2 linked regions of the Lepisosteus oculatus genome follow. The protein of the gene in region 2 purifies or fractionates together with the protein of the main gene of each other region. This does not show direct contact. Links are inferred from orthologs where the notes say so. Each region holds a gene or a part of one and is shown on either strand. Other genes may lie near its edges. The genes, in order: irf2bp1 and irf2b.

Region 1 (15,917 bases), on a different chromosome or scaffold from region 2:
GGTCTGATGCAGTGTGAAGCCCGAATGTAGGATACAATCCGTGCGCGAACGGTGCGCTGTGAGGTGGAGGAGGCAGCACGGATGAATAACCACCTCAGGGCATTGGGAACGAATGCGCACACACGCCAGAGACGATGTCAGCATCTGTCAACACACTGTCCCGGGTTCGGCGGGCGTGCTGGCGCTCCTGTCCGGGCCGGACCTGCCGATGGGGGCTGTCGGCTGCGGCCCCGTGTTAAACACTCCGAACGCCCCGATTTCTTGTCGCAGACGCCCAGTCACCTGCGGCAAAGCCCCCGCCGGGGGGAGATGGGTCTTTCGGGCTGCCTGGACAGCGGGCTCCCGGCGCCGCGAGGGGGGAAATCGCACCCTCCCGCGAGCGCGGCGCTCGGGGTTCGGGGCCGGTTCGGCGTGCTGCGTGGTGCGCGCGGCGCCGCGTTCTGCGGATAACACCCGTTTAAACCCGATTAAACCGCGAACACGATCTGCACCAGGGAATTCGCTTCATTCGTACCACTAAACCAACCCCCTATCCTCCCAGGATGCGTATGTTGGTTTTAGACGACCACGACTTAATCTTTTTTTTTTTCAAACAATAGCCTGCACAGTCAACTCCCCCCCCGACCCCCCCGGGGTTAACCGTGTTTTCCTCCACGCGGAGCCCTTACCTCCGGTGTTGGTGCGCTTGGTGCTGCTGGCCTCTGTCGGGGTCTCCAGCGGCCTCTTGCGCGAATCGGGGGGGTCCGACTCCATGTGGGGCTGCTGGCTGTGGTGGTGAGAATTCGAGAAAATCCCGTTCTGCTGGACTGCCCCTCCGGCCATCATTTTCATAGTCGCTTCACTCAGGGACCCCCGAAAGAAACGCGAGAACCCCCAGTTATCCCCACGGCGACAAAGCGAGGCAAGAGTCCGGCGCGAGCGAAGTGTTCTAGGAAGCTGTGCAGCTGGACCTGCGGTTCTCCCCGCACAGGGCTCGCCTACCCTCCGCTTCAAGACGCAGTGCTAGAACAGCAGAGTGCCGGGCTTATTTGTTAAACAGCGCTGCTTCTTGCTGCCTGGAAGAGACGTCAGGTCTGAGTGGAATCCGATGAATGAAATGCGTCTGTCTTCCTCTGACACGGCTCAGCCTCAGCGCGCTTCGCGATCGCGACCTCCCCTCTTCGGACTGGAGCGCGGAGCTGGATCGCAGATTTCCCGACCTGTGCCGCGGCTCCCCGTTCAGCGGTCGTTTTCTCCCCGGGAGTGACGCTCTTCCTCTGCTGCCTGCGGCTCGGGAGCCAGACGGAACGACGGGAAGCGAAGGCGCAAATCGTTGCGGATAGCGCGGCGGAGAGCCCCTCACAAAGAGGCAAGGGAGGCGCGTACGAGCGAGGGGAGAGCGATGGGGCGCAAACGCTGGTGCCGCTGTGTCCTGAGCTCTCGCATGGGGCTGCGCTGAGAGACGGGCCGGGTGGGTTTGGAGGAGAAAAGGACGGGATGCAGAGAAACGCCGGAAACGAAAACGCGCAGGAAAGATGCGATCTGGTGGGAGCCGCTCCGCGAGAGGAAGATGCTGCAGTCTTGCCTTCAGAGCATCCCTGGTCTGAGTGCCGGAGCGCCAGGACCGGGTGACGTCATGGGCGCCCGAGCGCATCCCTGTCAGATGTTAGTGGCGGAGCCGCCCCTGGCCCAACGCAATTGGCCGCGATTGATTTGTCTCCGGCGAGCGAGCTATAATTTTCTGGTGTCACATGACGAGAGAGAGAGAGAGGGGGGGGCTGTTTGAAAACATCCTTGAACAGAAAGGGCTTGAAGTATGTAAAAATAGGCAGCGTCTCCGGGTTATAATTTACAGCGTCGGCCAACACAACACACATCGTCTCGCTGAGGAAGAGCCACGGGCCCCGTCTCGGGCGTCACGTGCCAGCAGCGAGAGGCGCATCACGGAACGGCTAATAATCAGAAAATTAGCAATAAAACAGTGCCTCCCAACAGCCTGCCTCTGCTGTAGCCCGTCCTGATATTTGGGCCACGCTAATCTGGCAGCTGGGTGAGGCTAACAGCAACAGCTGGAGTGAACGATTTAGGGAACTGTATCTGCAAATTAATGAATATATCACAGCAATAAGCCTGACAAGAAATGGAAGTGTTGATCTGGCTCAGTGACACCCTCGCACGCCGGAGCACCTCCCCTTCGTGTCCCCTCACCGCGTCACACTGCAGTCACAGTGTCGTTACGCTGACCGAGGCCTCCAGGCGAGCAGGACAGGACAGCCTCGCCGCTGAGCTCGCTGCGACAGTCGTCCAGCACAAGGAACCCGCCTAACCCACACAGCTCCTGCCTAACGCACGCAGCTCCTGCCTAACCCACACAGCTCCTGCCTAACGCACACAGCTCCTGCCTAACGCACACAGCTCCTGCCTAAGGCACACAGCTCCTGCCTAACGCACACAGCTCCTGCCTAACCCACACAGCTCCTGCCTAACGCACACAGCTCCTGCCTAACGCACACAGCTCCTGCCTAACCCACACAGCTCCTGCCTAACGCACACAGCTCCTGCTAACGCACACAGCTCCTGCCTAACCCACACAGCTCCTGCCTAACGCACACAGCTCCTGCCTAACGCACACAGCTCCTGCCTAACGCACACAGCTCCTGCCTAACGCACACAGCTCCTGCCTAACCCACACAGCTCCTGCCTAACGCACACAGCTCCTGCTAACGCACACAGCTCCTGCCTAACCCACACAGCTCCTGCCTAACGCACACAGCTCCTGCCTAACGCACACAGCTCCTGCCTAACGCACACAGCTCCTGCCTAACCCACACAGCTCCTGCCTAACGCACACAGCTCCTGCCTAACCCACACAGCTCCTGCTTCTTGCCCGTCAGCTCTGCTTCGTCCACAGCAACATTCACGAGTCCCCTGGCCTCCGGTAGGGGTGTGCAGACGCACTGCCGGGAGAGAGGAGGGTGTCTTACAGACAGGTGGAATTGCTCGGTCAGACACAGAAGAAAGGCACCACCCAGAGGAGCTGGCTCGGCTCATCTTGAAGAATCTGGAATTTTAGCCACCTGGTTCTTGGAGGAGCCCAGCTGAATGGCCAGGAAAGCTATTCCAGACATCCACAACTCTCAGTGTAACCCTAACCCTAACTCTCAGTTTAAAGAGGCGCTTCGTATTCCACTGAAGTGATTTAGCTTGCTTAACCCTTCTGCATTGAATAATCCCATAAAATTAAAAAAACCTACGGCTCTTCTTTGAACTTTTTAAAGTGTATAATATCCCTTTGATTGTATTGTGACCAGAACCAAGCACAAGATTGTGATAATATATTAATGAAGAGCCTGGAGAAAAGTATGTTTTTCAATGATTACAGTCCATTTATTACAGTTCTCTGCCTTTTTAAGAGCCACAAGATGAAACATGCTGCCTGATGAATTTTGTAAGGTGTAGGTAGGGTTATTGAGAAAATATTGTCCATATGGCTGACAGTATAATACAAACAATGAAAAGTGCCGCATGCTTGTCTCATTAATGAGGAAATGCATGGAGATGGGTTGTTAATGGGCGACATGGTGCCATGGCAGTTAACACAGCTGTCTCACAGCTCCTGGCCTGGGCTGGTTTGCAGCTTGGGGTGCCTTCTGCGTGGTGCCTGCGTGTTCCCCTGTGTGGGCGTGTGTTCTTTCCGTGCTCCTCTCGACAATGCGAAGACGTGCTGTCCAGGATAATCGGCATCTCTGCAGTGCCCTCCGTCTGTGAGCCCTGAAATGGACTGATGCCCCAGTCAGGGTCCTGCCTCAGCCTGCGCCCTGTGTCTGTGAAGTGCACACTCGTGCGTCAGGTGCTGTGCTTCTGCAATGGGACACCAGAGTGCCTTATTGCAGCCTCTTTGTAAAAAGGAAGGACAATAATGTTGTTTCTGCTTGGACAGGAGAATAGTCAAGACAAAGGTCATACACTCGTGCAAAGGGCACATCGGTGGTACTAAGATGGGGGTGATTTAAAACAGAAACTGAGGTTGCTCCCTCTTCAAGGAGGACCAGACCTGGTCCTCCAGCTGCCCTGGTGTTCACGGCGTCCCGGTGTTTCCATGGTCACACAGCTCGCGGGCTGGACCAGGGGGCCCTGGGGCAGAGACGGAGGGGACCTGCTGTCCTGTTGTTAATGTGTGCTCAACAGCAGTTAACCGGGGTCGCGAGAGGACAGCAAGAGCAGAAATCAGTCTATTTGCACCTTCACAGCTGAGGCTTTTCGAAGGAGTGGGGGAGGGCACTGTGTGTGTGTGTGTGAGTGTGTGTTGGCAAGGGGGTTGGTAGATCACTGCTTCAGATTCTGAGGGAGGTTGTGCTGCAGATGCAGGCCTCTCAGTGTGTGTGCCTCAGCAAGGCAACAGTCTTTGTGCCTGAACAAAGGCCTGGCTGAGTGTGTGTGCTGGTTGCCGTGGTTCAGGAGCGGAGAGTAGGGAATCACGCTGCACCAGGGCTGGGGGTCAGCGCTGTGCCAGAGAGAGGTCCTGCAGGGAGCAGCTCCATATTGCCCTGAAGCTCGGCACAGAGTCCGGCTCCTTCAGGAAGGAGGTTTCTTGTGCTGTTTCATTCACCTTGTGAGCAACACGGTGCCGCTCAGAGGGCCGGAGGAGGAGGCACCCCTGCGCATCTCTGCACCCTGCGCAGGGGGAGGCCCGGGGATCACTGAGCAGGGTGTGAAAGAGGGGGGGTGAATGATGAGGTAGCGCATTGTGTGTGTGTGTGTGTGTGCGTGTGTGTGTGCGTATATTTTCTGACGGTACATACATAGACGCAGCTATACCTCCTAGAAGCCTGATCTCATCAGATCGCTGACGTTTGGCGAGAAGGGTCAGGTCTGTATCTGGGATGAAAGACCTCAGGGGAGAAAGCAGTTTGCTGCTGCTGTACGACCAGTAGTGGTGCTCTTCCCCAGACCAGCGACCCCTTATGGTGACAGAGGAACAATGCTATGGAAGGTACCGACCTTCAGATAAGACAGCAAACTGAGTAAACTGACTACTTGGTTATTAAATATCCCAATGCATTGTTTATCAGTTATAATAATAATAATGTTTCTTTATTAGCCCTATACAACTTCTTGCATTAGGAATTTGTCTTTTCGCAGACCCCAGCTTGCTCTCCATGGAGACACAGACACACAGACAGGGAGAGAAGCTGGGGGTCAGAGCGCAGGGTCAGCCATGGGGTTGAGTGAGTGGGCTGGGGTGTTAACCCTGGCTAGATTCCACCCTGGACTTGTACTGTCTGGACTCTCAGAATTCCCTCCATAATTCAGTTTGTGAAACCCTTTCTCGCTCCTCCACCTGGTCTGTTTCCGCAGAGTGACTCCTGTGTATGCCTCAGTGTGCCCTGCACAGTGATAGATGAAGTGGAACCCTCCTATAGTGAAGCTCTCTGTGATCCCCTGTGATATAAGTTGTATGTCAATGCAGGGAATTATTACTATTTATTACCATTACTATTTAAACAAGAAAAAAAGAGAGCAGCAGTATTAGATCTGGTGATTTATCATCAATGCGACGTAACTCCCTGCACAAAACAGAGCAGACGAACCCATGTGGAAATCTAGCCTGACTCATCATCACAGGAGGTGCTGTGGTTTATACCAGTGAGAAGAATAAGTTGAGAAATTCAGTTGTTTCTGGGGTGGGTGCTCATCTTTTCATTCATTTCCTTGAGTTCTGTGGGCTAAACTAAAAACAAATAATAGTCCATCAGAAAGATAATTTGATCACGTTGTTTTACATTTTACATTCTGGTGAGCAGTGGTCAGCATTGCAGTGTTCGGTTTTTGGGGTGCTGGGTGGAGTTTGTATGTTCTCCCCATGATAACATGGGTTTCCTCTGGGTGCTCCAGTTTCCTCCCACAATTCAAAGTCATGCTGGTGGGTTACCTGGCTTCTGGGAACACCGGCCCTGGTGTGAGTGTGTGCGTGTCTGTGTGGCCCTGCGATGAACGGGCGTCCCATCCAGGGTGTACCCTGCCGTGAGCCTGTTGCTTGCTGGGATAGGCTCCAGCTGGCCTGTGACCCCGTACTGGACAAAGGAAAATCTGTTTAGGAAAATCTAATTTCCCTTCATCGCAGCGAAAGGTAGACAGCAAAAGTGCTCAAAACCTGTAGGAGTGGTTCAGGGTTTTCCAGTAAAACATCAGGTGCTGTCAGAATCAAGCAGGCAGTGGTGCCCCTGGAACAGAGGCTGGAGATGATTGTGAATTCGGGGGTTACAGCTTCGTACGGTCTTCTGCTCCTGTTTAACTGGGGGCAGATGGCCGCTAACACTCCCCTGCGCTCCGAGATTCACAAGAGGAACATTAACCCCAGTGGCAGTCTGTCTCTAATCCCAGAAAAAGAGTGAAAGGCTGACTGAGCTCCAATAACCCGGACTTTCAGCCCGCCCGTCTATTGTGCGACGACGGGTCTCCATCTGCCCCTCCTCCTCTCCACCGCGCTGTCTGGCCGGCCCATTGTCCGGCCCGTTCCACCGGGGAGGGGGGCCGGGGGGGGGGTATTGTCAAGATTCTGTGGATTTGGCAACATCTGGCCCTCTTCCTCCCCCCCTCTAATTGCTTTTATTGACCGTGTCTTCGGAGAAGGCGAGAGTCATAATAGAGATGGCGACCGCGTGAGCGGGGGGGGGGCGCCACGTGACCGGCTGGCTGTCGCCCGGGCTGGGAAAAAGGAAACGTCCTGATTCCCCGCTGGACGGCGGGGCAGGCCTTCAGAGAGGAAAGATGCAGTTTGTTTAATATTATTTTATTGCATTCGCCGTTAATCAAACGTGAATCGATTTTTTTTTGTAATAAAAGGAGACGGGTGGCAGGGCGGGGAAACGGGTCAGAGGTCGAGCGCGCTGTCCTGCTTTTGGGGGGAGGGCCGGCGGCGCCCCAGAAACGGGTCTGTGAATAGGAGCGGGGTGTGAGTGTCTGGGGAGGTGTGGCGGAGCGGGGAAGGGGTGCGCTGTGGAAGCAGGGATTAGCGATCCTTACCGAGACGGAGAAGGTATAAACATGCCCACACAAACGCGCGCACATGCTGCCAGGAAATCCACTGACAGCTTCTGGTGCCATCTGGCCATCCGGGCACCGCCCGCGCCTGCGCCCTGGAGGAGCTCCAGCCCCGCGGGAGCGCCCACGCACCCACGCACCCACGGCGCGACTGGCCCGAGGCCCGCAGGTGGCTCCGCTCTGGACAAGTTTGCGCCTTCTTCTCTCTTGCGCGGAGACTTCGGAGCTGCCTGGCGATTTCCTTTCCCGATTCCCGAATCCTGGAGATCCCATATAAAGACCTAAAATGTGAACTGCGTGTTGCTCCAGGCTATCCCGTGTAATCCTCAGACACGTGTGTTTTTACAGTCGTTATTCAACCCGTTTTACTGACGGGTTTAAAAATGATTGTAACATGCCTTCCGATGAGTTTCCTGAAATCTCTGCCCCGCGGTCTAGACCGAGCTTTCTGGTCTGAGCGTCTCCTGAGATTGGGGCGATCTGCACAATACAATACAATAGGGGTCGAACGCTATAAAACCTACTCAAATACGGCAAATCATTGTCAATAAAACACACAAAACACTGTAGGAGGTTTATCCAGTTAAGCTTAATTACTCTTTTTACAGCAGTATAGAGAAATGTTAAGATTCATTTCACAATAGGTTGAGATCGAACACTTTTTTTTTTCGTTTAGCTTTTATATATTCTTTTGTTGAGACGGGCTTATTTTCCCGCACAAAGAAGGAGAAGCTGAATGAAAATGAAGTTGAACGGTTTTCCTTTCGGTTTGATCCCGGTGGATCGTCGCTCTGGTTGATTTGAGTCGATCTCGGCCCCCCCCTGGCGGTAACACCTTGGACCGACGCCTTCGACCTCAAAACAATTCAAAAGGAATTTACAATGTTTTTGCTGTGTTGAATTATTAACATTGCAGTTTCTGGCTGCCATACTATGCAGATCAGACTTTCCTCTCTATAGCTCTCTAGGGCCTGTATGTTTTAACTAGACGGGGAAAGATCAACGACTTCAAGTCAACGACTAATTATCGGCAGAAGACAGTAGGATCAAACAAATCAGACGAATATCCCAATACGTGTTGACTTTACAGCAGGCGAGGCAGTTACAAAGTACAAGAGAATTTGTGAAGGATTCGTCTTTAAAATAAAGACGTAGGTCCAGCACCTCTCTGCGCACTGGTTTCCATGGGAACGCGCGTTGCCATGGCCACAGATCGTGCTGAAGCAATTGTGAGACGAATACCGATTGACCGAGGTTCCAGCGCAAAGCGAAGGTTTAAGTCGAATTGATGGTCCCTTGTAAGACCCATTTCGCTCAATCGTGCGCGTAAGCAACGGTGCATCATGAGAATTTTATAAAGATCCTAGACCATTATTTCTTTCACATGATTCCATTTACTTAGTAAACACAGTTATAATGATTTTGTAGGTGTTTTGCAATAGCAAGCAGTAGACGTTTCTACGTGTCGCAGGGAAAGCGCCTTGATCAACCAGCCGATAATCAAACAGCTCTTCACGAGCAGTGGCCCTGTCCAGGCGGTCTATTTCGCCTCTGCGTGGATTCCGACGACGCCACGCAAGCCTGCAACCCTCTTTTCAGTTCACGACTTTGAAAAGAAAGTTGCCTTCTCCAAAAAGCTCTCACAGGGTGACTTTGTGGGTTTGACAAGACGTGCAGAAGATACTCCTAGTTGTGTATTGGGGGAACTCCCATTACAGCCAAGATGCTGGTTGCGTAATAGGTGTGTTTTTTGGCAGCTCCTCTCCCACCGACGGTTAACCACACTGCTCTACAGCTCAGACATGCATGGAATGTCCCTTGCGCCTGCGCACTGCAGCAGCGCCGTGGGTGGGAGGCAGAGAAGGAAGTGGTGATGTCAGACTCTGCGGCGCAAAGCGCTCTGGGAGATTGAGTCCACACTTTCCCAGCGAGTTTGGGACCCTTGGGAGAGAATAAACGTTACTGCTGCTATTATACTTTACCTTTACTTTACCAAAGGTAAAGTCTGCTATTAGACTTTACCTTTGCCTACTGCCCTGTCTCTCTCACACCTGAAGAAGGCTCCACGGCCGAAACGTTGTGTTCTCTTTCTTCTTTTTTTCAGCATGGAATAAACCTATTACTTGTTCCTCTGCTGCTATTATTATTACAATAGAACGATCATCACAGCGAAGCTTGCAAGTTTAACATAAATCAGTAAATAGCGATTCAACATTTGTATTATTAGAGTTGTGTTACTATTTAGTCATTAAAAAGTAGTTTTTTACCCCGCGAATAAATATCTTGTGGGTTTTTTTCGAAGCTTTGCTTAGGTGACACAGCTTGGCCGACCTCACTTTCCGTGGACTAGAGGAAGGGCAGTACCCGCTCAGTGTAAACTGCACCCAGCTGGCCTGTGATGTGAATTCCTTACCTCACTGGTTTCCTGGGTCATGCACGCAGATGAGAGCTTTCGTCCATAAGACATAGGAAATGCTGGTAAAAGTAAACGCACAGGAATACTAATAGTAATGTCCGATCTTAACGGGTTTCTGTTTCCGAAAATCCGGTCCGTGTGAAGCCACGTTAAGCACTGTCATATGCCTGGGATCTCAAAAAACATATTTTAAATTAAAAATTAACTTTTACCGAGCTTACTGGAGAGTAAGTACTGAGGTGAACTCCCTATGAGAGAGACACTGAGGAGGAACCCGCTTATAATATAGGCAGCATAGAGGACATAATGCTGTATTCCTGGGCAATTGTACTGGACTTCTGACAGGTGATAGACTGAAACACACCGAGAGAACAGAGTCATATTCGCCGGTCCCAGGCGACCGCGCCGGTTCCGAGCGGGACAGAAACTACAGTTCCCAGAGTGCACCGCTCCGGGGTTGTGTAAGTTTCCAGCGTCTTCTAGGACAAACACTTCCACTCGGGCAGAGAGACTGGGGCGATACGGAAAAAAACAAAAACAAAACAAAACAGAAGAAAGGACAACAAGTGACGCGAAATTCTCCAGTTCGCCCGCGACAGAGGGGCCGAACCGTGTTTGTGGGATCGGGGCCGCGGACGAGGAACTCGGGAAGCGAGGCGGGATTTCAGAAACGGCGGCGCTGTGAGAGCGAGCGAGAGGGCCTGAGAAAATGTCCTCTGCTTCACAGGCTTCCTCCAGGCGGCAATGGTGCTACCTCTGCGACCTGCCCAAGATGCCCTGGGCCATGATCTGGGACTTCAGCGAGGCCGTGTGCCGCGGCTGCGTCAATTACGAGGGAGCGGACAGGATCGAGTTCCTGATTGAGACGGCCCGGCAGCTGAAGAGGACTCACGTCATGCAGGACGGCCGGTCCCCCGGGCCCCAGGCGGGCAAGCACGGCCCCGCCGGGAAGGACGCGCCGCTGGACGGCGGCCGGCAGCCCGTGGAGAGGCTGGAGCGGGTCCGGGCGGAGTACGGGCTGCCCGCCCGGCTGCCCAACGGGCTGGCCCGGCCGGAGGAGGCGGGGGCGGCCGAGGTCAGCCGGCAGAGCCCCACCTCCCGCCGCGCCATGGTGGGGGCAGTGCCCCCGAGTCTGGTGCCGGGCTTGGTGGGCACGCCGCACGGCCTGCTGGCGGCGGTGCCGGGGCTGAGCTCCCGGGCGGGGGCCACGGCGCTGACCATCAGCGCCCCCCTGCTGGGCGAGCTGGGCAAGCGGCAGGCGGCCGCGGTGGGCCTGGGCCTGGGGCTGGTGGGCGGCGTGGCCCCCTTCGCCGGCCCCGACTACGAGAAGGAGCTGAGGGAGAAGCAGAGGAACGCGGAGGCGCTGGCCGAGCTGTCGGAGAGCGTGCGGGGCCGGGCCGAGGACTGGGCCGGCCGGCCCAAGGCCGTGCGGGACGCCCTGCAGGCGCTGGCGGGCTGCGCCCCCTTCAACGTGCGCTTCAAGAAGGACCACGGCCTGGTGGGGCGCGTCTTCGCCTTCGACGCCAGGCCGGGCCTGGAGCTGGAGCTGAAGATCTTCACCGAGTACCCCTGCGGCTCGGGCACCGTCTTCTCCAGCCTGCTGGCGCTGGCCAAGCAGATGTTCCACGACTGCCTGAAGGACGCGGGCAAGGTCATCAGCTCGGGCGCCAAGTACGTGGAGTACGAGCGGCGGCACGGCGCCGGCGACTGGCGGCTGCTGTCCGAGCTGCTGAGCGACAGCGTGCGGGCGTTCAAGGAGGCCCCCGCGCCCGAGCTGCTGCCCCAGCCCTTCCTGGACGCCAGCTGCGCGCTGCTGCCCACGGCGCTGTGCGGGGTGGGCCGCGCCGCCCCCCCCAGGGGCAGCCTGCGGCGGCGCAAGGCCGAGGGCGGGGAGGCGGAGGGCGGGGAGCCGGGCAGCAAGCTGCTGGGGGAGGAGGGGCAGCAGCCGCGGCAGCACTGGGTGCCCGTCAGCTCCGCCGGCATCTACTCCGTCCTGCCCCACCTGCCCGGGGGCAGCCACGCCAGCCAGCCGGCGCCCCAGGAGGGGGCGGCTGCCCACAGCGAGCCCTCGCCCATCTCGGCGCTCATGAGCGTGGCCGACAACCTGGGCGCGGGGCAGTCGCCGAAGGACGCCCCCGGCTCCGCCCTCTCGCGGCAGAACAGCGGCAGCCCGTCCGCGTCCTCGCCCGCCGGCCAGCCGCCGCGCCGCTTGGCGTCGCGCAACGGGGACGCGGCGGCGCCGCCGGCGCAGGGACCCCCCAGCAGCAGCGCCGGGGCCCCCAGCTCCGCCGCCGCCTCCTCCGCCACCGGCGCCGCGGCCGGCAGCAGCAGCGCACCTCTCCCGCTCGCCGCGCCCGGGGAGCAGGGCGCAGGGGAGCCCCCGGGGGGCAGCGCCGCCCCGCTCTGCTGCACCATCTGCCACGAGCGGCTGGAGGACACGCACTTCGTGCAGTGCCCCTCCGTGCCCAGCCACAAGTTCTGCTTCCCCTGCACGCGCGACTTCATCCGCAGCCAGGGCCCCGGCGGGGAGGTCTACTGCCCCAGCGGCGACAAGTGCCCCCTGGTGGGCTCCAACGTGCCCTGGGCCTTCATGCAGGGCGAGATCGCCACCATCCTGGCGGGAGACGTGAAGGTGAAGAAGGAGCGCGACCCGTAGCGAGCCCAGGTGAGAGCTCGGGCCGCGGCCCCCGGCGGACAGGGGGGGCGCCCCAGCCTGCTCTCCCCGTGGTGCGTCGGGAAGCGTGCGCCCCGGGGGAAACCTGTCCTGTTTGTTCCCAGGCTGCCGGAGGTTGACCCCACTGGGGAGTGGCGCTGGGGGAAGGGGTGCGAGGTGGGGCTCCTTCCTCGTGTCGAAACGGTGAACTTTATCGAGCGCCTCGAGCAGGAGTAAAGGCAGCGGATGAAAACGGGGTGCAGCCTGTGAGCGCGACGGCGACGGCCGTCCCGGTCGTGGCCCCTGTGACCCCCAGGTGCCGCGAAGCTGACGTGCTCGTGTTCTCTTGTCCCACAGGGGGTCCCGCGCGAAGCCGGGGGGCGGGGGTCTGCGTCCGGCCCAGCCCAGGAGGAGCCTCCTCAGACTTTGCTAAGGGCGCTGCGTGTCCAGCCTGGGCCCCGGTGGACGAGACTGTCCGGCTCGTGCGGGTCCGGGCCCTTCGCTCGGGGAGGGGTCCAGCACCCAGATGCCCCAACACCTCTGCAGAGAGAACCCCAGCGTGTCTGCGGCCTGGGGCAAGCTCCCCCACCTCCTCCGGCGCCCCGAACTCGATTGCTTTCTTTCTCAACCTACAAGCCTACGGCCCCCCCAGTCGGACTGAGGCCGAGCCCGGGGCCTCCCTGACCCCTGACCCCTGACCCGGGCCGGCGGGGACAGAGCTGACCTCCTTTCAGATTTTATACCAGGGAAACACGGCGGAGTGCGTCCTCTCTCTCTTTGGATATAGATGTGCAATCTCTAGTTTTGATACGATGCTTTTTTCTACGTACCACTGAATCGTTATGCCTACGCAAACGGAAAACCAAAGATAGTTCCAGCCCGCGGCGAGGACGGCGGGCCGGGCCGGGCCGGGACCCCTGCACAGGTGCCGCAGGGGCGGCGGGAGCGCGGCGTGGCCCAGCCCCAGTGCATCGTGGGCTGCCAGCCGACCGGACGGGCGCTGCAGGGGCGCTTGCAGTCGCACACGGTTGAGTCTTACAGCACAGGTGGTGCCTAGCAGCGCCTTCAGCGGTTTTCCATAGCGGGTCAGAAGCGGGTTTGTAAGCGTTTCTGCTGTGTCGTCTTTGGCTCGGTGGAGAACAGGGACGAGGATTACGGGGGTCTGAGATGGACATGTAGCGACAGAGCGAAGAGCCTCTCGCCAGCCCCGTGAGAGATCCTGCCCGTTCTAACGCTGTCATCAGACGAACGAGCTGCTCTTGTGTTGTTTGTCCTGCTTCACCGACCGATAGGAGAAAGAGAACAGGCAGCTGGGGCTCAGAGGGTCCAGCCTGTCGGGGTGAGAAGGGGCAGGGGTCGTTCCCGTGCGCGTGGAGCGTCGAGGCGGGAACACGGCGTGCCCGGGGCCTGCTGGGATTTGCCCGGGCAGCGCAGAGCGGCTGGCTCCCGTGTGTGTCTCAGAGCTGGAATGCCCTTCGCTGGCCGTGAGAGCAGGTGCTGCAATAGCAGGGCAGACACAGATAGACACAGGGGGGGAGTGGGGCAGACACAGATAGACACAGGGGCAGAGCTGGGCAGACACAGGGGCAGACACAGATAGACACAGGGGCGGAGCGGGGCAGACACAGATAGACACAGGGGCGGAGCGGGGCAGACACAGATAGACACAGGGGCGGAGCGGGGCAGACACAGATAGACACAGGGGCGGAGCGGGGCCTGCATGCTGGGCCTTGCACCCCTAGTTCAAGGCCTTTACAGAAAGCTGTCTGGACCCAGACTGGCCAGTTCCAGTACCATGTTGTGTGCGCTCCTGTGAACACACGGAGTCTCCATGCTGAGGCTGCCTGCCTTGCTGTGTAGTAATCTCCATCCTGCATTCTGTCTGTCTTCTAGTCTGCGTTACATGGTGGCCCCAGAAAAAAGGAAGGCAGTTAACTGAGAGAATTTGTGGCTTTTTTGTTGTTGTGTTTTCCTGTTCGCAACAGATACCATCTCCTGGCCTGGGATGACGAGCAGAAACGAGTGCTTCTTGCAGAACAGTTGAGCTGTTTCTATACTGTTGGTTCTGGGGTTTTTTTCGGAGGTGTTTAGCTGTGCAATTCTGCCTTTGTCGGTTTCGAAACACTATGAAATATTTGAGTCGATACGTTCTGACGGTTATCTGCACACCATTGAGCCTCCTGTGGTCTGAAGAAGCATTTTTTTTAGTCCACGACGCGCATGAACAGCGAAAACAAGTGATTAAAGGAAATGATTCAGTTTGAGCCTGTCTGTACACAGTGAGTTGGGCCTTTTGTATCTTTTTTTAATGGATGTCTTACCATTTGGCACAGCTCAAAGCGCTGTGCTTTCAACTTAGTGTCTCCTACAGCTTTTCAATTGCTACATGACGAAATGCCCTGTCGTCTGTGGGTTTAGATACCAATAAAATGCCTTCTACTCAAAAGCTCTGACTAGCTTAAAGAGCTGAGGTGTTTTCACTGGGCTGTGTTCCAGTGTAAAGCGCTCTTCCTTGACGCTGGAGTGGAGGCTGAGGACATTTCTGGTTGACGTTCTTGGTGTTTTCGGAAGAACAGCTCTCACTGGAGTGTGACACAGAGGGTCCGATCCATTTCTGACTGCATTCCAGCCGCACTTTTAACCTCTGGTTTAAAAATGACATGAAATGAAAACGACAAAATGTGTTTGTTGTGCGTTTGCACCACGTTGCTTGTCCCAGTTGGTTTAAAAAAGAAGTCTACAGTGTTCTTTGCATAGTTCTAGTTTTGTTGTGTTTTTTTTTTGTACAAAACAATCACCAAACCGTGTTTGCCCTCAGAAGTGCCTAACTGATGCTGTTCCTTGTCCGTTCTGTGCGTCTGCCTTAATAGAGCCCAGCAGTGTGTCCCCCAGCAGGACTCGCCGGGCGGGGAGCTGAGACGGCTCGAGATGGGGCCGTGTAGATTGTGTTTCTCCATGAAGCGAGAGCCCAGCACACGGCACCCGTCAGGCCTGGCCTGTGGGACGCTGTCTGTGGCCTGTGGACTAGGTTACGTCTGACTTCCACATGTACACACAGGGCTGGGATTTCCTGTCGCTGCGCCAGAGGGTGGGGCGTTCTCCTCTCTCTCTCTCTCCTCGCTGTGCGCGAAGACTGGACAGTATTTAGGTGTTCAGGAGCTTGGGTGGGTCGTGCTTGCGTACCGTGAGTCTGCACACTCGTGCGCTTGTGCAATGCAAAGCTGCACCCCAAATATCTGTACCCCAAGCTGTGGTTACCGACGCAATAATGACGGAAAGCCAAAGAAGTGCTTTTCGTTGGCTCAGAATTTGATAAACATGGGTCTCCTGCCCCTCTGTGTTCCCAACAAAGCCTTGTGGTTTGGGGGAATGCAGAGCTGGTCGGGACACTCCCCTCCTGTTGCACTGGTCAGTCGTCTGGCCAGTCCTAGTCCTATAGAGTGCCTTCTAGAATGACCATGACAGCACGAAACGGTAAGGAAGCCGTCATCAACGAACACGCATGGGAGCAGATTTGTGAATTCAGAGTGTGTGTCCAGCACCGTTTATTAAAGTGTTTTCCCAGTTCTGCAGTTTCTTAGTTTGGTTGCTAGGTTGTAGGCCCTGTTACTATATTTCAGGATGAGAAGGTGTTTACTGTTTTTTTTTCACAAGCATATCCAGGGTGTGCTGGGTTAAGCAGCTCTGAATGAAAGAATCTTTTTTACTCCTCCACCCAGAACCCAGTTGTGGATTAGCACAACAGAAGAGCTGGAAATTCCCACCCTGGCTGCTGTCCTCAGTCCAGGTGCGTTAGTTCGATAGCCGCGGTCCAGACTGCTCTGT
Region 2 (15,701 bases):
TACATTAAATTATGTAATAATGCCAACATTAATATTTTTTGTTAATTTATTATGATTATTCCTTGCATTTTGTCATCATGTCCCTTCTCATTCAGTGTCCTGTCCTTCCCACGAACTCCACTGTAAAATCAAAAATAATCTGCACAGCTGGCACCTACACTTCGCCAGTGACACCAGGACTTCCACAGCAGTCCTCTGACCAGCTCCGCAGTGGCACAAGGGAGAGAGAAGGACAAGGCGCGATCACCTCCACACAGGGGCACGGGGGCTCTTCTGCACTTGCAAAAGCACCAGCTGCTTTCCTACCCAGACATCCTGCTCGTAGAAAACGAAACTCCAGATGCGAGCACCCCAGGCTGCATCCCGCACCTGTGGAAAGTGTCCGCGAACAGATGCAGTGTGCTGTTCCTGTACAACCATCGTGACTGCAATCGCCCTCCACACAGATGCACACAGCGACACTGTGTCGCTTCTGCACGGCCCCAGAAAGCAGAAGGACAGAGGGCTGGACAACTCCGGCGACCTTCCTGACCGCACTGAGCAGCGCTCGCCCAAAGACGCGTGTCTAATTCCAGCCCCTCGATTTGAATCCCCACAATCATCTCTGGAACGCCTCGGAGGCTGGACACAGATCTGTCTTCATCCGCTGCTCTGAACAGTGAGCGGGTGAGGTGGGCCAGTTCAGTCCATCACCTTTCCCTGTTAGTAGGAAGGCTGGGACACTGCATAACAAAGGAACATGATGACAAAGAGCAGACATTCTTAATTTATAATGTTCCCAGATTCCGCTTTGCTTTATTGTGACTGTGAGAAGATGAGGAGGAACAAAAATTCAGACTCAGGTGGTTTATTGCAATATTTACTATTCACTTGCTAGTGGAACATTTCTCTGGGTCAAAGTCCATCAGTCTTAACCGATGCAGCCAATGACCAAAAACATATCAGAGCAGATTTAACTAGGGGTAATGGTGTCTTGAATTTTGTCTCTTTTCTGGCTACCTGGGTAAATGTCTCCTTGGGCATCTAAGACAGGAGGCCGAGGTCATTCCACCCATCCAGTTCATTTTCTATGGGTTTCGGCTTCAACAACATGGTTGGGAAGCTTGTTCCATGCTCCATCAACTCTATGTGTAAGGATGTTCCTCCTGTACTCAGTTTAAATAAAATTCCATGTAGTGTCCACTTACAGTACGTCCTCTGATTTGTTTATAAAGAGCAGACAGTTTCAAGACCCTGGCACTAAACTGCATACAAGGTTAATATTTGATCATAATGGCTGACCTGCTATTATATTCAGAAAACACCATAAAAGATCAGCCTGCCATAGAAATGCAGTCAGTTGTGCAAGGAAAAAACAAAAAGACACGAAACCTATCTCTCCTGTGGTTCCAGACAGGAATTTGATCAACAGAACTTTGATTTTCAGAAATGAATAAAGCTCTAAAATATGTTACGTTATCATTAGTTTTATTATAATCTAGTTATTATTGTATTTTTATTGTAAACTTACTTATCTCATCAAAGATACATTAAAAGACAAAAAACTCTTGGCAAAATCTCAATTAACAAGATACTGACTGAGATACCTCAGAAGGAATTTTAAAAACCCACCCTGCACAAGGAAATGTTTATGTTTACATAACAACATGAAAATAATTTCAAGCAACGCAAAATGTCACACGCTGCACAATCAAAATGTTACGTTAGTAGCTATTATACTGCACAGAGCCACTCTGAATCTAATCACAAAATGTAATCACTAAATTTAAACTTGTTAAAGAGCAAGGGTTTCCTAGTGGAGTCCTGTTGGGATTTGCTAAGCAGTAAAGTGCAACTGATACAGTTCTGTGAGGGAAAGCGCTGGAATTATTTAACCAGGGTTCTCCGAGATGAACTTCCTACAACTTCCCAGACCCAGGCACCATTCAATGACATCAGTGAGAGAGATGCTCCATTCCTCCAATCAGTGCTAGCTCTCATGTCAGTCGCTATGGAGCTTGCAGAGAGTCAGAAGACGACAGAGACCCTAATGGAGGAGCTCGGCCTCCTTTCTCCATTCTTCCCCTACAGTTCAGGAGTTGTCACTGAGAACCATGAGGCAAAACAGAAAAAACTGTGATTCCAAATAGGGCTGGGCGATATGGCCAAAAACATCACGACAAGAAATTTCATATCAGTCGATATCGATAATTATCACAATAACTGTCAAATCATTATTTCTTTCAAGTTTAAAGGCAGATTTTTTCTCCTGAGTGAAAGTTGAAGAAACCAGACAGTTAACTGGTAAATTAAACAACTTTTTATTTTAAGAACACAACAAACACTTGCCAAACAGCAGAAACCTTAAACAAATCTGTCAGCTGCCCGGTCTGCAACACACACGCGCACTCGCGCAGTATTTTGTGTGCATGCGCATATCTTGAGCAAAGCGTAAACATATATATCGAACATTCATCGCACTTTTGTTAAAATTATATCGAGGAAAATTATATCGCGATAATTATCATTATCAAATTACCGCCCAGCTCTAACTCCAAATCTTTGGCCTCAGAACTCTAAAACCTTTAATTTATCAGGGAAAGCAAATAAAAGGAATATGTTTTGCCCCTCCTCTGTTTTCACAAATTTTAGAACATTTTTTTTCTAGACGCATTCTACGGAATATATTGCAGGAATTGTTTTTTTAGAGAATTCACAACTTTATTATTTATTAAGAGAACATGATAGCACAATAATAGAAATATTTTTTAAATAAACAGTAAAATTCAACACACCACAAAGTTAATATCTCTTGATTTAAGAGTTGCCATTTGTGTGTGTGCGTGGTTGGCGAGTGTAAATGTTTGAGATTTGAAACTTGCTCGTTTTGCACACCACACCTGCTTGTCTTCTGCAAATGTGAAAAAAATGAACTCACTTTTAAATAAGACACTCACACCGAAATCGAATTCCAGTGGCATTTATGTGAAGATATGGACTTCAATGAAATGTGAGCCACAATCTCCAAACCAAAGCCAGAACTGGGGCTGGGTTTTTTACAAGCACCACATAAGAGCACTGCAATGGAGCTCAAACCTTGAATGCTGGCTTGTCAGAAGTGCATCCAAAATGAAGCAGTTTCTTTCCCACCATGTGAAAGTAAATGACAGAAACTGAGGAAAAAATAACATCCCTTATTTCATTTCTGCATGCCGACAATTTTCTATCTCATGACTAAAAGGCTATTATTTTTAGGAATCACCGTGTGGGGGTCATACTGAATGAAGCTCAGAAAAGATGGTCTCAGGTACAAGTACAAGTACAAGTGGTATCTGGTGGAAGACAACAGAAGAGCATCGATCTCCACATTCACTGGATGGCCATGGGTTACATTCCTCCTAAAGGATGCCATGCTACATTAAAACATTGTAAACATTAACAACCTCCTGCTTGGCAACTGCATGAGCATTATTTTTTCATAGGTAATATTATTTCACGATGAACACTTAATCCCTCCATAACGCCATCGTGTTCGTTAGTGACACTCCGGATCACGTTGGTCACTATTAAAACTGCAATTTCAGCTTGATTCTGAAACACTTCAAAGGTTCTGTAATTAGAAGCACACACACACAGCTTTCGGCCTAAATGTACTGCCTTTTGAAAATGTCAGAGGCACCTGAAACCGCAGTTATATTTGAATCTTTCACTTACTGTACACACAGTCTCAGAGAATTTAATATTTTTTTTGAAAGTCCCAGAGGGTTACATTTATCTGAAGGGAAACCTAATGATAAACTTGGAAAACTGCCAAGTTAAAAAAACGTATTTTTGCCTTGCAATTCACAAATAAAAAAAGCCAGCTATTTTTCAAGTTACTGTTCCACCACACACTAGGTAATTTAATTGGTCAGATTTATTTTGCCAGGTGGTCAGATTATATCCTACAGTTAACTTTAACCCTTGACATTAAACACACACACATCTCATTATTGTTGTTTGGAATTCCAGAGCAAAACAACTAAAATAAAACAACTTCTTACGGACAAAGCGAAAAAACTGCTTCTCTTATAAGGAAATAAACTGAAATGAGTAGCCTACCAACCAGAAACCCCAAAATATGCTATTGTGACCTCATTTAAGAGTCAAAAACTAAACACTAACAAGCTTGGAGAGCATTAAAGCTACAGAAACATCTACGTTCTCCTGTACTCTCTGAAAAGACCTACTTCTTCCTCAATATACAGCAGTCTGATTTAATCTGTGAACACTTCTCTCTCGATGTGGCAAGCAGACACAGACACTGATACGTACCATTTAAGTGCTATATAAACATTTGCCAGTTGATGATTAAATGTAACCCACAATGAGGGATACACACATCTGATTTCCATCTTACCCCCGTGTGAGATAGTACTGGTCTCAGAGATTTCAATCTAATATCTAAATGCTTTCAAGGCATGTGCAAGTAGATTATTCAGCCCCCAATGTGCAGCAGAGCAGATATGGTAACAACAGTCACAATTAGAAGAAACTTAGTCACCCAGAAGCAGATAAGAGCGAACACATAAATGTCTTCTCTAATTTGGGCTCCTCAAAATGAATAATGCTAACCTGAAATCTAAGCGATTACCACACAGCATGTCCCCCTAAATCACAAACAGTTGCCCTATAGCTAGAAGTCTTGTACACTATGACCAAGCTGGATTACAGTGTGCTTCAGAAGACAGAGATCCTACATCTTTAGGAGGTGCCCCTGGGACGTTTAATCAGGAATGACAGCACAGGGAGGATACATACTTTAGCTATGCTGTCACACCTTCAAGAACTTTTAAGAAACTGCATCTGCAACATGAGAAAGAAATTCTCTACTGAGCGATTGCTTCACCTTTAAAAAAAAAACAGGGATGTGGGAGTTGAACCTGATCAGCTTTTTTTTATATATCTAGGAATCTGCTTTTAGGTGTACATTTTTTAGTTATTAACACAGCGTCGATCCAAGGAAGACAAAACACAAACCAACTAAAACCACAGATCGTGATCAAGTCTTTATTCAAACGTCAGTATTTAACCCCCTTTTAGAATAAAGACAACTGTGTTTAAAATGTGCATTCTGTCAAATTAAAACTTCATCCCAAGGCAAGTTCTTTTTCTAGGAAAACAAGCGCCTATACCTGCATATCTGCCTCGTTCACATGGGAGTTAACCTACGACCACAGCGATGCCTTCGTTCACTGCAACGTCTGCAAGAAAAACACGGGCTATGTATCCAAAGCAGCACGCCTCGAATTCAACCCTTTTTTTTTCCAAGCACTGTTAACAGCGGTTCAAACTTACGTAGAGGGCGGCATGTGTTGACGGAACCGAGGCCCGAAGAGGACACCTGCTGTGCAACTTGGGTTGCCTGTCGTATGACTTGGCAGACTACAATGTATCGATAGGCTTACGCCTGTGCGGCACATGGGGGCACGGCGGCGGCGGCCTCTCACGCCAAGCCCCGGCCGGAGCGCCCCGCCGTTGGCTGCGCCGCCTGTCACTTCAGCGGCGGCGAGCCCAGCGTGCACCGTCACCGCTCGCCGCAGCCGGGGAGGGGGGAGAGGAGAGGAGGAAACCGAGAGAAAGCCCGATTAAAGCGACAAGTTACGGAGCCCCAAGCCTGCCGACAGCACGGCACCCAGCCTCGGGAGGCCCGACACCAGCCACGGCGCTGCGGCGTCTCGCCCAGCAAGTCCGATATAGGGTTTCCCCCCGAATAAAAACAGCCGTACCCATACCGTAAAAAAAATACAACCACTTTCACGTAACTAAAATAAAAAATGCGTACAGTATGCTTCTGGGCATGTGGAGAAATGTCATTTTAAAACATAAACCGCACATTTAGCTTCTTGCAGCTCACGACACTGATCTTACTACTGCAGCCTAGATAAAAGATATGCCATCCGTAACCGACCGCCCTAAACTCTCTTACGAAACGTACCCTCTCGCAAACACGAAACGTTTTTTTTTATTTTATTTCGACAAAAGCCATCAATATCACCCCTACACGATTGTTGGCATTATTAGCAGGCTGGTGTGGTACGACGTTACACGTTTTGCCAATCGTTATCGGGCACGTTATTATTTCAAGACGAGCACGTATTCCTCGCTGGAGCGCGTCATACTGTACACTGACAGCTGTGCAAGTTCAAGTTGTGTACTCGGAGATAATCGGTCTCTCAATCCAAAAGTGAAATTAAACCTCAGTCCCTCTCCCAACTTCACATGCTCCGAACATCCCTGATCTGATTGTCTATCATTTTTGCGACAGGACTTCCTGTTTATATCAAGAAGGAAACATAATTCTTAATAAATAAAAAAAAACATATACAAGAACCATCATTACCTGATTTCTCTTTTTTTAAAAAAAACACCCCGCCTGCTCGCTTTCTGACCCAGTCCAAACCTTAAAGGTCCTTCCCCCGGGGCCGAAAAGTTTGTCGTGAAAGTTTGCGGCGCTCAGTAACAAAACTAAAACTTAACTCGGGGCCGCTTTCAGTGTCCAGATCGAAAGCAAAACAAGTAGAGGAAACAGCGAGCTGCCTGGAAATCCCCTCCCGGACTGTTTGTTTCGCCTTCGCCTGAACCTTTAGAGGGCGTCGTGCAGAAGCGAGCCGAGGAGCTGCGAAGTCAGAGGCGCCCCCTCATTGGTGCACGGCGGCGCTGTCATCATTTCTCGGAAACTGAAATTTCATTTTCGCTTCCCCTCCGGCCCGGCTGGCGTGTGCGCAGCGCGCCGGGGAAGGAGGCGAGCAAGCCCGGCGGTGTGGCAGGAAACTCGCCATCGCCGTGCCTCCCGGGGCGCCCCGCCTTGCGCACTCTTGAGCGGGCCTGGCGCTACAAAGTGCCGGTTTGTAGCTGGTGGCCGTCTCCAGATTGCGCGCTGCCTGGGCGAACAGCGCTTTTGAAAAGGGGGGCGGTGGCCCCGGCCGGCCGGCCGGCCGCTCTCGGGAGTTGCTTGTTGAGGCGGACACGTCGTTTTGTTTACCGGAGTATTTTGTGACGGTGCGGGTGTGCGCGCACACACACACACGCTGCGTGTTTGTCAGTCGCTTTTCTTTTATTTTTTTTTTCTCTCCCACTTTTAATTGTCCATAAAGGCGCTGCAGGACCGGACCCCCTTTGTGCTCCGAGCCCGACGTCCAGTTAAATATTTACAGAGGCAGAGGGACAGACGCACGCAAAGCTGGTTTCGCAATCGGCTTGCCTTCAGCGGCAGAGGTGCGGGTCCCGGCGTTAACGCACAGCAGGCAGTCGGAAGCCACGGTGTAAAACATTAAAACGGAAGGGGAAAAAAAAGAGAGAAGAAAAACCCGTGGCTTCAGCGAGTTGAGAGGGTGGAAGTTGTGTTACACGTGCTTACGACCATGGCTACGCGGGGCTGCGTTATTGGGGCTCGTTTTCAGACGCTGCCTTTCCTTGATCAAAGGTCAGCTGTTACTGTAGGTCTGCAGACCCCTCCTCCAACCTTAAGAATGACAGAGCCGCTGGTTGTTCGGAGCTTTATTATCATTGTATGTATATATAATATAGTAACAGCAAAAAAATCATAATAATCCAAATAGGGGAAAGAAATCATCAGAATAATGACGTAGTTATATGTATTGCCTTCCGGGTTTAAAACTGCATGCCCTGACAACATTGCCTGGAGTCTGTTAACTGTTTAATAAACTCATACAGATTACAGGGACTTTGGAACTTTTTCTCTTCAGATCCTGAGACGACTGATGTTTTTCCTTCCTGTTCTGAGAGAGGTGCAGATGAACACCTTATCCGACACAGTTCTGTCATTTACAGAGGAATGAAATGTGTGTTGCGATGGTTTGTTGATTGCTCTTTTTTTTTTTGGGGGGGGGGGGTGTTCTTATTTTAATAACAAGAATAAGGCATGAAATTTTATTTAAACTGTACCACCCACATAACTAGGTCTTCCCTGAATTCCTCTCTCTCTCTCTATGGGATTTTGTGATAATGCCTTGGGGATTCTCCTTGGTAGTGTCCCGTTGTTTTCTCTGTTCTGAGAACATCACTCTAGGAATATTCTGCGTGCAGCATTTTGTGGGTCCGCATGTACAGTATGTGTGAAATAAGCTGGGCCCCCATGAGTGGAAACTGCAATAAAAATGCAATTAATCCGTTAAGGGCTCCAGATGGACATTGTGTCATAACTTGTTTTTCCTCGGAGTGGCCCTGCGACAGTGTATTACCTGGAGTTGCTAATCGTGGCTTTTCCATAAAACGTGTATGACCGCATACGGCATGTGTTCTGTAGGGTCCGTGCCCCCACCCTTAATCAACCCAGACAAATTGTAGTGACATCTGCCAACGTTGTCAAACAAAGAGGATACAAAGGCATCAGGTTAACAAGGAATAAGGTCACTTCTTTTGGGCTCTTGGGACACCAGTCAGTTCCATGGTGTCCCGTGACTATCGATCTATCAGATGGAGATTCAGGTTGCGTGGAAGCAGGGTGCCCAGATGCCCCTGGGGCTGTAATTCAGTTGGAAGGTGTGGGATGAAGTGGTTAGAAAGTGGAGGCCCGTTGAGCAGCAGTTGCAGGGGGCTTGTGGGTAGTGCTCGACCGAACATTTCCAATCATTTCTGAGGCTATTCCGAGGCAAGTGGCAGTGTGGGCAAAGGATGTTCTTAATTGAACAGATTAGCTGTTTAGGTGATCAGTAACTTACAGGTGTTCCCAGATGATACAAACAGGTGATCCGCTGTATAAAATAAACTGGAATGGGGCTCTCTAGGACCTGAGTTCTAGAGCTCTGGGCTAAAGAGGCTTTTTTAAAAACACTGTAACCTTATATAGTCTGTTGTCATCAAGCGACTTCTTTTTTCCATTACTAGCACAGGATTCAATGTTACTTCTGTGTCCCTTTCGTACATTATTTTTGTGTTCTAGTTGGCAAAACAAAAGTCTATAGTGTGCACTTCACCCTACAACAGTCAATACACTGGAGACTGACACATTACACAACTGTAAAGAATTGTAGCAGCAGCACTGTGTGAACATCCGAAAAACAAGAAGAGCCTGTTTGATAGTTTAAGGAAGTTCAACTTTATGGGATGTCTTGTATGTTACTATTTCAAACAGTCTGATGGTGCAAACATGCAAATGATAGTGCTTAATATAAATAGTAATTATGATTGTATAGTAATAGATTTGTACAATCGATCCTGATACTCTCAGAGTCTTTTTACATATAAACTTACATATACGTCTTTTACACACAAACAAGTTTATAAATGTAGCATTACAAGCCGTTTGTGTTTTACGATCGTATTTGATCACATTTGTGTAACATATTTTCTAAGTTTTGAAATCTGTCCCCTCTAAACATTTTTATATGAAACTGCAGACGTGCTTTGTATTTTCAAGAATCAAAAGACGTCGACAAAAAGTTTAATATTTTGCTCCTGAAAAAGTCCGGAAAGTAACCCTTAAAAACCTGGCCCCCAGTGAATCCATATTAAAATCCCATCTCACTGAATTGTTGAACAGCACTATATCCTGAATTTTAGTGTAAGAAATAAATGTGTATGTATAGTGATTGTTATCTAATGGATTCGGGTGTAACCACATGAATGTTAGAGTTCTAAGGGAAAACAGCGCAGCAATCTCCCTGTTCCAAGCCGATTCTTGTTCTCCAGTCATGCTCTGGCCTTATCAGTGTGGCAGGCTTGGTCGTACAATAATGTTTTCTACCACCGAAGAATTCGCCTGGGTTTCTAAAGTCAGGAAGGGGCGAGGACTGAGGTGGGACAGGTTTTACAACCAGGAGCAATAAGGGTGTAAAGCCTGCCTCGCTTGCCTGAGCTTTCAGGGTTCAAGGTGTTCCGCAGCCGGATTGTGAAATGCGCGAATCGCACTTTGTTCCTGCCGTACCTGTCGGAGCGATGAATCAGTTACGTGTGCCGTCGTAAACACCAAGGCCAGCATACCGCTTGCGCTTTCTTCACGAAAAACCCACGTGTGAGGGAGCTCAAAGCACAGTGAGTGTTGTTATTTTACCTGACTGACACTTTTATAAAATAGAAACTTGGATATGTTCCTGTTCATACAGCTGGGCATTTGACTGAAGCATTCTGAGTAAAAGACATTGTTTGCTCAGCATGTAATTTGAACCTATTGTACACCCTTCCAGTCACCTGTCTAGAGACCCCTAAACCCTGCCCTAGTACATTTTCTAAGATGACACAGTGACGTCTGCTGCCGTGAAAATGTATCTTACTGCGTGAGAGTTTCATGATAAAGCCATTGTGTAGTGTTCAGGTCTCTCACTTTCAGTAAGGGTGTATTGTCTAGGGTATAGTCTATTTTTCAAGCTATGTGCTTTATACTGTACACAACCACACCAAATACAGTTTTTTTTTAAAAAAAACACGATATTGCATTGTCCATCTCGTTTTCATGTACTTTATAGTGTAAGTATTTTAATATTTTATTTTTCAGGATATTTTAGTTAAGAAAGAAATCCAGTTGTAAACACACAATAGCGGTTTAAACTTGAACTATTTACAATCCCTGCTGTAATTTCAAACGTTTTTAAGAAAGGAATATTTTGTCTTTAAAGATGCAATACAACTAACAGTCATAAAAAAAACAACATATGAGGTCATGGAAAGACTATATGCAGAATATTTCGATCCTGTAGATACTGTACAGAAGAGAAATATGATGGATATGATAGAACTAAAACAAGAGAAAAGCGCTTTTTCAATGCGTGTAGCTGTAACCTTTAAAAAATCCCTACATGATTCCTCGTCCATATAAATTGTGTTAAATCCAATCTGGTTTCCTTTAGGCATGTCCGGCAGGAAGAATTACATTCAGTGGTGATTTATTCGCTGAAGTAAAGGTCTCTTGTCAGTCTGGAGATGATGCATGGCATCTGTTTTTTCCCATGAGACAACCAGGCACCTGTGTCAGATTCAAACCTGAGGGCCACCCAGTGACTGACCCGTGTCAGGATCCTAGCGAGGTCCAGATCCCTGCCGTGTTGATCTAACATTTCACACAGCCTTCTGATGAAAATCGAGCCCCGGACCTGGTTCCTCCATGAATAATATCCTGGCGAGAAAAAGCAACCGTGACTTTCTTGCTTATAGACGACTGGGAAAAAAGAAACCGGCAGCGAACCAGAGTTCTCATGTCTGGCTTTTTTTTTCTGGATCACAGCAGGAATAGACATGTTTTATATTTTTAATTAAAAAATAAAAAAAAACATAAGGATGAAAACGAAAGATGATGCACCTTGCACACTTCTTCACAATCTGGGGCAGCCAGCCGGCAAAACAGACTTCTGAACTTTGATGGACTGTAATACCGCTATGATAAATGGCAGAGAAAACTTTCGAAAAGTCAACCAGAAGTTGTATCCTGCTTTTAATGTAAACGAGACATTCTCGGTCTTGCATTAATGACACCCTGGGCTTTCTAGCACTATGAATCGGGCAAGGACAATCAAAGTTGCCTTTATTGAGGCCGCAGAGCAGGTGCACAGCCTAAAGAGGAAGGTGTGCGCTCCGCCGCGTTGGCCGCACAGGAGACGCAGGGACGGTACCTGCAGCGGTGGAGTGAGCGCACAGGAAGTCCTCTTCTGGGATCTCGCTGATGTCAATGTCCTCCGCTTCTGTGGAGTCTGTCTCAACGCCGCCGTCGTACTCCTCTCCTCGGCAGGCCTGGGCGGGCGAGAGAGAGGAGCCTAAGTGACAGATCACGGCTTTTTTTCTGTGTTATTTTCCATGAATACACCGGGAAGGAAGATACAAAACTGAAACAAAACACTCTCCAACAGACACAAACATAATAAAACGTCAAAGTATGTGTAAATATATGTTATTATTATTATTATTATTATTATTATTATTATTATTATTATTATTATTATTATTATTATTATTATTTACAATGACTTTTTTCCTTTGATAAAAACGTATTGAACATTTTGCACATTGTCCTTGGTACTGTACTTTAAAAATATTTATGCTTTTTAAAGCAGCAATGCTGTTAAAGTTTCAAAATATTGAAACTGAAGTCTTGATTTCTGTGCTTTTAAACTATGGTCGCTTTAAAAACAGTTTAGATATTCCCTTTCATGAAGTTATTAGAAACGTAATATAGAATTTGAACATTGACTATTGATCCTTTTTACTTTCATTGTACTGTATATAGAAAATTTGAGGTGTATTTTAATATTCTGCATCACCTGCTTTCATTCTGTCTTTCCCTGGAATTAAAATGCTTTACCTGAATGAAGAACAGTTTGGGCTTCCCAGCTAGGCTTGGACAGTCCTGTGCACTGAATAGAGCAGTCAGCTCCTTAATTTTAATTTCTCTGTCTGTCCCATAAATGTGACCTTTATACCCATGGCTAAGAATTACACAAGCAAAACATGCCATCTCACCGTGGTCCTCTCTAGAAACTGAAGACAAAGAAAATAGAGCTGTGTTAATATCACAGCAGGGAGATTCTTGTCCACAAAGCAAGTCAGCACACATCAGACACACAAAGAGCTGTGAATGGCAGGAGGCTTTTCATCATGGCCTTGTTTGACTGCTGCCAGCTAATTGATCCCAAATCACTTCCGTCTGCTTAGGGAAGGATTCTACAGTGTCAGCTACAGCACATCTGTTGAAGATGCCAAGTGCTTCTTTTTGCGTAACGCAGTTGTTCTGTTTAAATGTACTGTATGCTGTATATATACACACAGCAAGACCTTGAGAATGCAACAAATGCTTTTCCAATACAGTTCTGTGGTTTGTTTAAAACCTCTCAGTGTCTTAATTACGCCATGCCTCTTCGGACTTGCCGATTGTTAATAACTTGGTTCACCATTCCTGTGCTGTGTTGGAAGTTTGGGGAGATGTAGACGTTCCTCCTGCCCCTTCCTCTCTCCTCCTCACAGCTGCAGTGGTTCGACGCTCCCACCTGCTGTTGAGCTGCGAGTCCTGCAGTGTTTGCTCAGGAGATTCGCCAGCGGGTCCCAGCTGACAAGCCCACAGGCTCACAAGCCCCCTCAGAAGTGATAAACGTCTCGGAGGATTGTGAGAGCTTGGATCACAGCACCTCGGCTGTGTGCTTTGACACTAAAGAGATTTAGTTTCTCAAACTGTGTGTATGACACTATTACAGATTAGCGAGTAAGTGAAATGGAAACAAAGCTACAGTTGCATCTCATCTGCTTCCCTTCATTTTATTTGAACATTAATTTTAGCGATACGTATGGAGAATATTTTGCATTTTGTGAAGGCCGGTACCTGTGTCTAAGACCTGCCGCATTTCAGCGCATGACAGGTCTTTCTCCATCTGCACTGTGAAGCCCAACGATCCAAAGGCTTCCCTCACTTTCCTCCCATCCTCCTCGGTGCCGATCCGCTTGTTCATTCCTGACAATCAACGAAAACTGTGAGAGGTGCGTAGATTGCCAGGCCAGACAATCTTGGTTCCTTGTTCTTCAATCTGTTGCAAGATTCTGATCTAACCTGAATCAATTTGATTATTTAATAGATCCTCAGCAGCAGAATCAATTACGTAATTAAGAGTTCATTGCATAATTACAGTACAGGTTGAACTGAAGTCTTGCAACAACAAGCCTGGAAGAGCCAGGGTTACTCGAAGTACTGGTGTGGTCATCCTGCATTGCCTTTGCTCTGCCGTGCTACAGTATTTAGGACAGTAAGGGCATTCCTAGAATTAAATAATGCAGCACAGTGCTGCTGGCATGCAGGTAGACCATTAAGCAGCAGAACAACAGAAGAGAGCAATTCAAGATCTACACATTGCTCTGGAACCGACTTTTCCAAAGAACCTTGTTTGTTGAAACTAAATGAAAGTTTTAGGGCTCCTGCTGCTGCAAACACAATATTTTGGTCAAAAGAAAAACGAAACCGATACACAAACACCATGAAGCTTACCTGAGAAATTTTCATTGTTGATGATGACACACTTGCCGATGTTCTTGTACTTCAGGCTGTATCTGTAAATACTAGAATGTGCTTGAACGCTGCCAAAATAAAATGTGTAATTGGTTGCAATTAGTATTTATTTCTACTAGCTGATGTCCACCAGATGCCCTCAGCAGCCTCTTTCCTGGCAATAGTAGAGGGGCTTGAGCAGGAAGCAGAGCATGGGCATCGTTGCGCTGGGCCGGTCGCCCTTGTGTGCCACTGAAGAAACCTGTCCAGGGAGGAGCTGGTCTCACTCACTTCATCTGCAGAAAGATGCCACTACCCCGTCCCCTCAAAACCCTCCACCCTCACAAGCACAGCACAGCGCCATTTTCTACAGCCTGTGGCACGTTGTGCTTGCCTGGCCTGAGCTGGTTGGGTCACTCTCAGGTGTCCCAACCCGCCACCTACTGTAACAGGCGTCCAAGCCGGAGTCAGACTGCTCTCCGGTTTTGCCAAGCAGAGAGAATGACCGTCTTCTGTATTTCAGTGCGTAGCTTCCAGACCACTGTGCTCGTGATGAACAGTGATGGCGGTGATTTCGATTTCAGCAACACCTCCAGTCAGACAGGCCAGGAGTTAGAGGAGGCCACTGGGTCCCAGATAAACACACCACTTCATTGCAGTCCACATGACAGCACTCTAACCTTTATTGTTTATATACCCTAAATGCCAAGGTACAAACACACCTTAACCAAACCAACCCTGACAGAGAGGCTGAGAATTATAAGAAGTCAAATAAAGCTTGAAAACCTACCCTCTGAATGTTTGTTTTTCCAGACATTCACGCACATGAGGGTGAAGTGAACAATAAGCAGAAGCTGTTGATCATTGTGCTCTTGAGCACACAGCTGTGGCTTTGTGTGCCTCAGATGCCTTTGTCTTTTTGTTTTGCCATTTCGCTGACAATGAGATCACCACCACTACAGTCGGGGACTTTCACCTGATAAAAACTCATCTGTCGGGCATGGTTCCTATTTCCATTGAGGTCCAGTTCTCTTGCCACCAGACGAACCTTCTGATAACTCCTCCAAATATCTACAAAGCTTGTGAAGTGATGGATGTGCTCTAAGAAACTTCGAGCAGCTGATGTCACCTACCTTGTCATTCCAGTGTCAAAACCTATAATTACACCCGTAGCTGTGGTGACATGTCCCTGCTGTACATTTGTGCCCTCAAACTCCATGTATGGCAATGAAGTGGCTTTTCTTCCTTGAGGAGCGAAGACTTCACTGTCACACACTGTCATTGGATATGGGTCTGCGTACTAGTGAACCAAACCTCCCAGGGAATCATATTTCACTGCCTCCTCCACACAGCAGTGACTCTTAAAGGCCAGCGTCTTTTCACCAGATCTCGCGGCGCACAGAACGTCCTCTGTTCCAGAAGTAGGTCCACTCGACCTCTTTGGGTCAGTGGTTTAATGACTTCATACAACAGTTAAGTAAATGACAACATTATGTTTTTACAATTGATGTAAATGTATGCAATAAATAAAAATCTAAACCAGAATCTGAATGACATTGGACAAGTTGCTTCAGATTGTGTTCTCAGGAGCTGAAACGGTTTTATATTGTTCTGACACAACGTCAGATTATTACATGTATGCATAATTGCTTAGGAATTTTTATCAGTCATACTGTATATACTGAAAATTTTCTGTGCATCTCTTTTTGCGAAATAAAAAAAAAGAATTTTCTGTCAAGACAGTTTTGACATTTTGTACACG

What was found.
Region 1: the proteins of irf2b (region 2) and irf2bp1 purify together in Homo sapiens (affinity purification with mass spectrometry; 4 studies listed by BioGRID and IntAct, counting the BioPlex papers as one, with this or other methods). This does not show direct contact. The link is inferred for Lepisosteus oculatus from reciprocal best matches to the Homo sapiens genes IRF2 and IRF2BP1.

Annotation. Positions count from the first base shown.
Region 1 is NC_090698.1:1,451,711-1,467,627, reverse strand, and holds irf2bp1 (interferon regulatory factor 2-binding protein 1), read left to right. Parts: upstream 1-9,851; 5' UTR 9,852-10,148; coding exon 10,149-12,095; 3' UTR 12,096-12,104; intron 12,105-12,449; 3' UTR 12,450-12,538; downstream 12,539-15,917. Other genes in the region: nova2 (RNA-binding protein Nova-2), read right to left, coding at 669-831. UniProt on the Homo sapiens protein: Acts as a transcriptional corepressor in a IRF2-dependent manner; this repression is not mediated by histone deacetylase activities. May act as an E3 ligase towards JDP2, enhancing its polyubiquitination. Represses ATF2-dependent transcriptional activation.
Region 2 is NC_090696.1:75,450,058-75,465,758, forward strand, and holds the start of irf2b (interferon regulatory factor 2), read right to left. Parts: upstream 6,331-15,701; 5' UTR 5,317-6,330; intron 5,223-5,316; 5' UTR 5,160-5,222; coding exon 5,154-5,159; intron 184-5,153; exon of another isoform or gene 159-183; intron 1-158. Other genes in the region: caspase-7-like, read right to left, coding at 10,863-11,092, 11,586-11,703, 12,272-12,447, 13,283-13,411, 13,940-14,028, 15,073-15,158. UniProt on the Homo sapiens protein: Specifically binds to the upstream regulatory region of type I IFN and IFN-inducible MHC class I genes (the interferon consensus sequence (ICS)) and represses those genes. Also acts as an activator for several genes including H4 and IL7.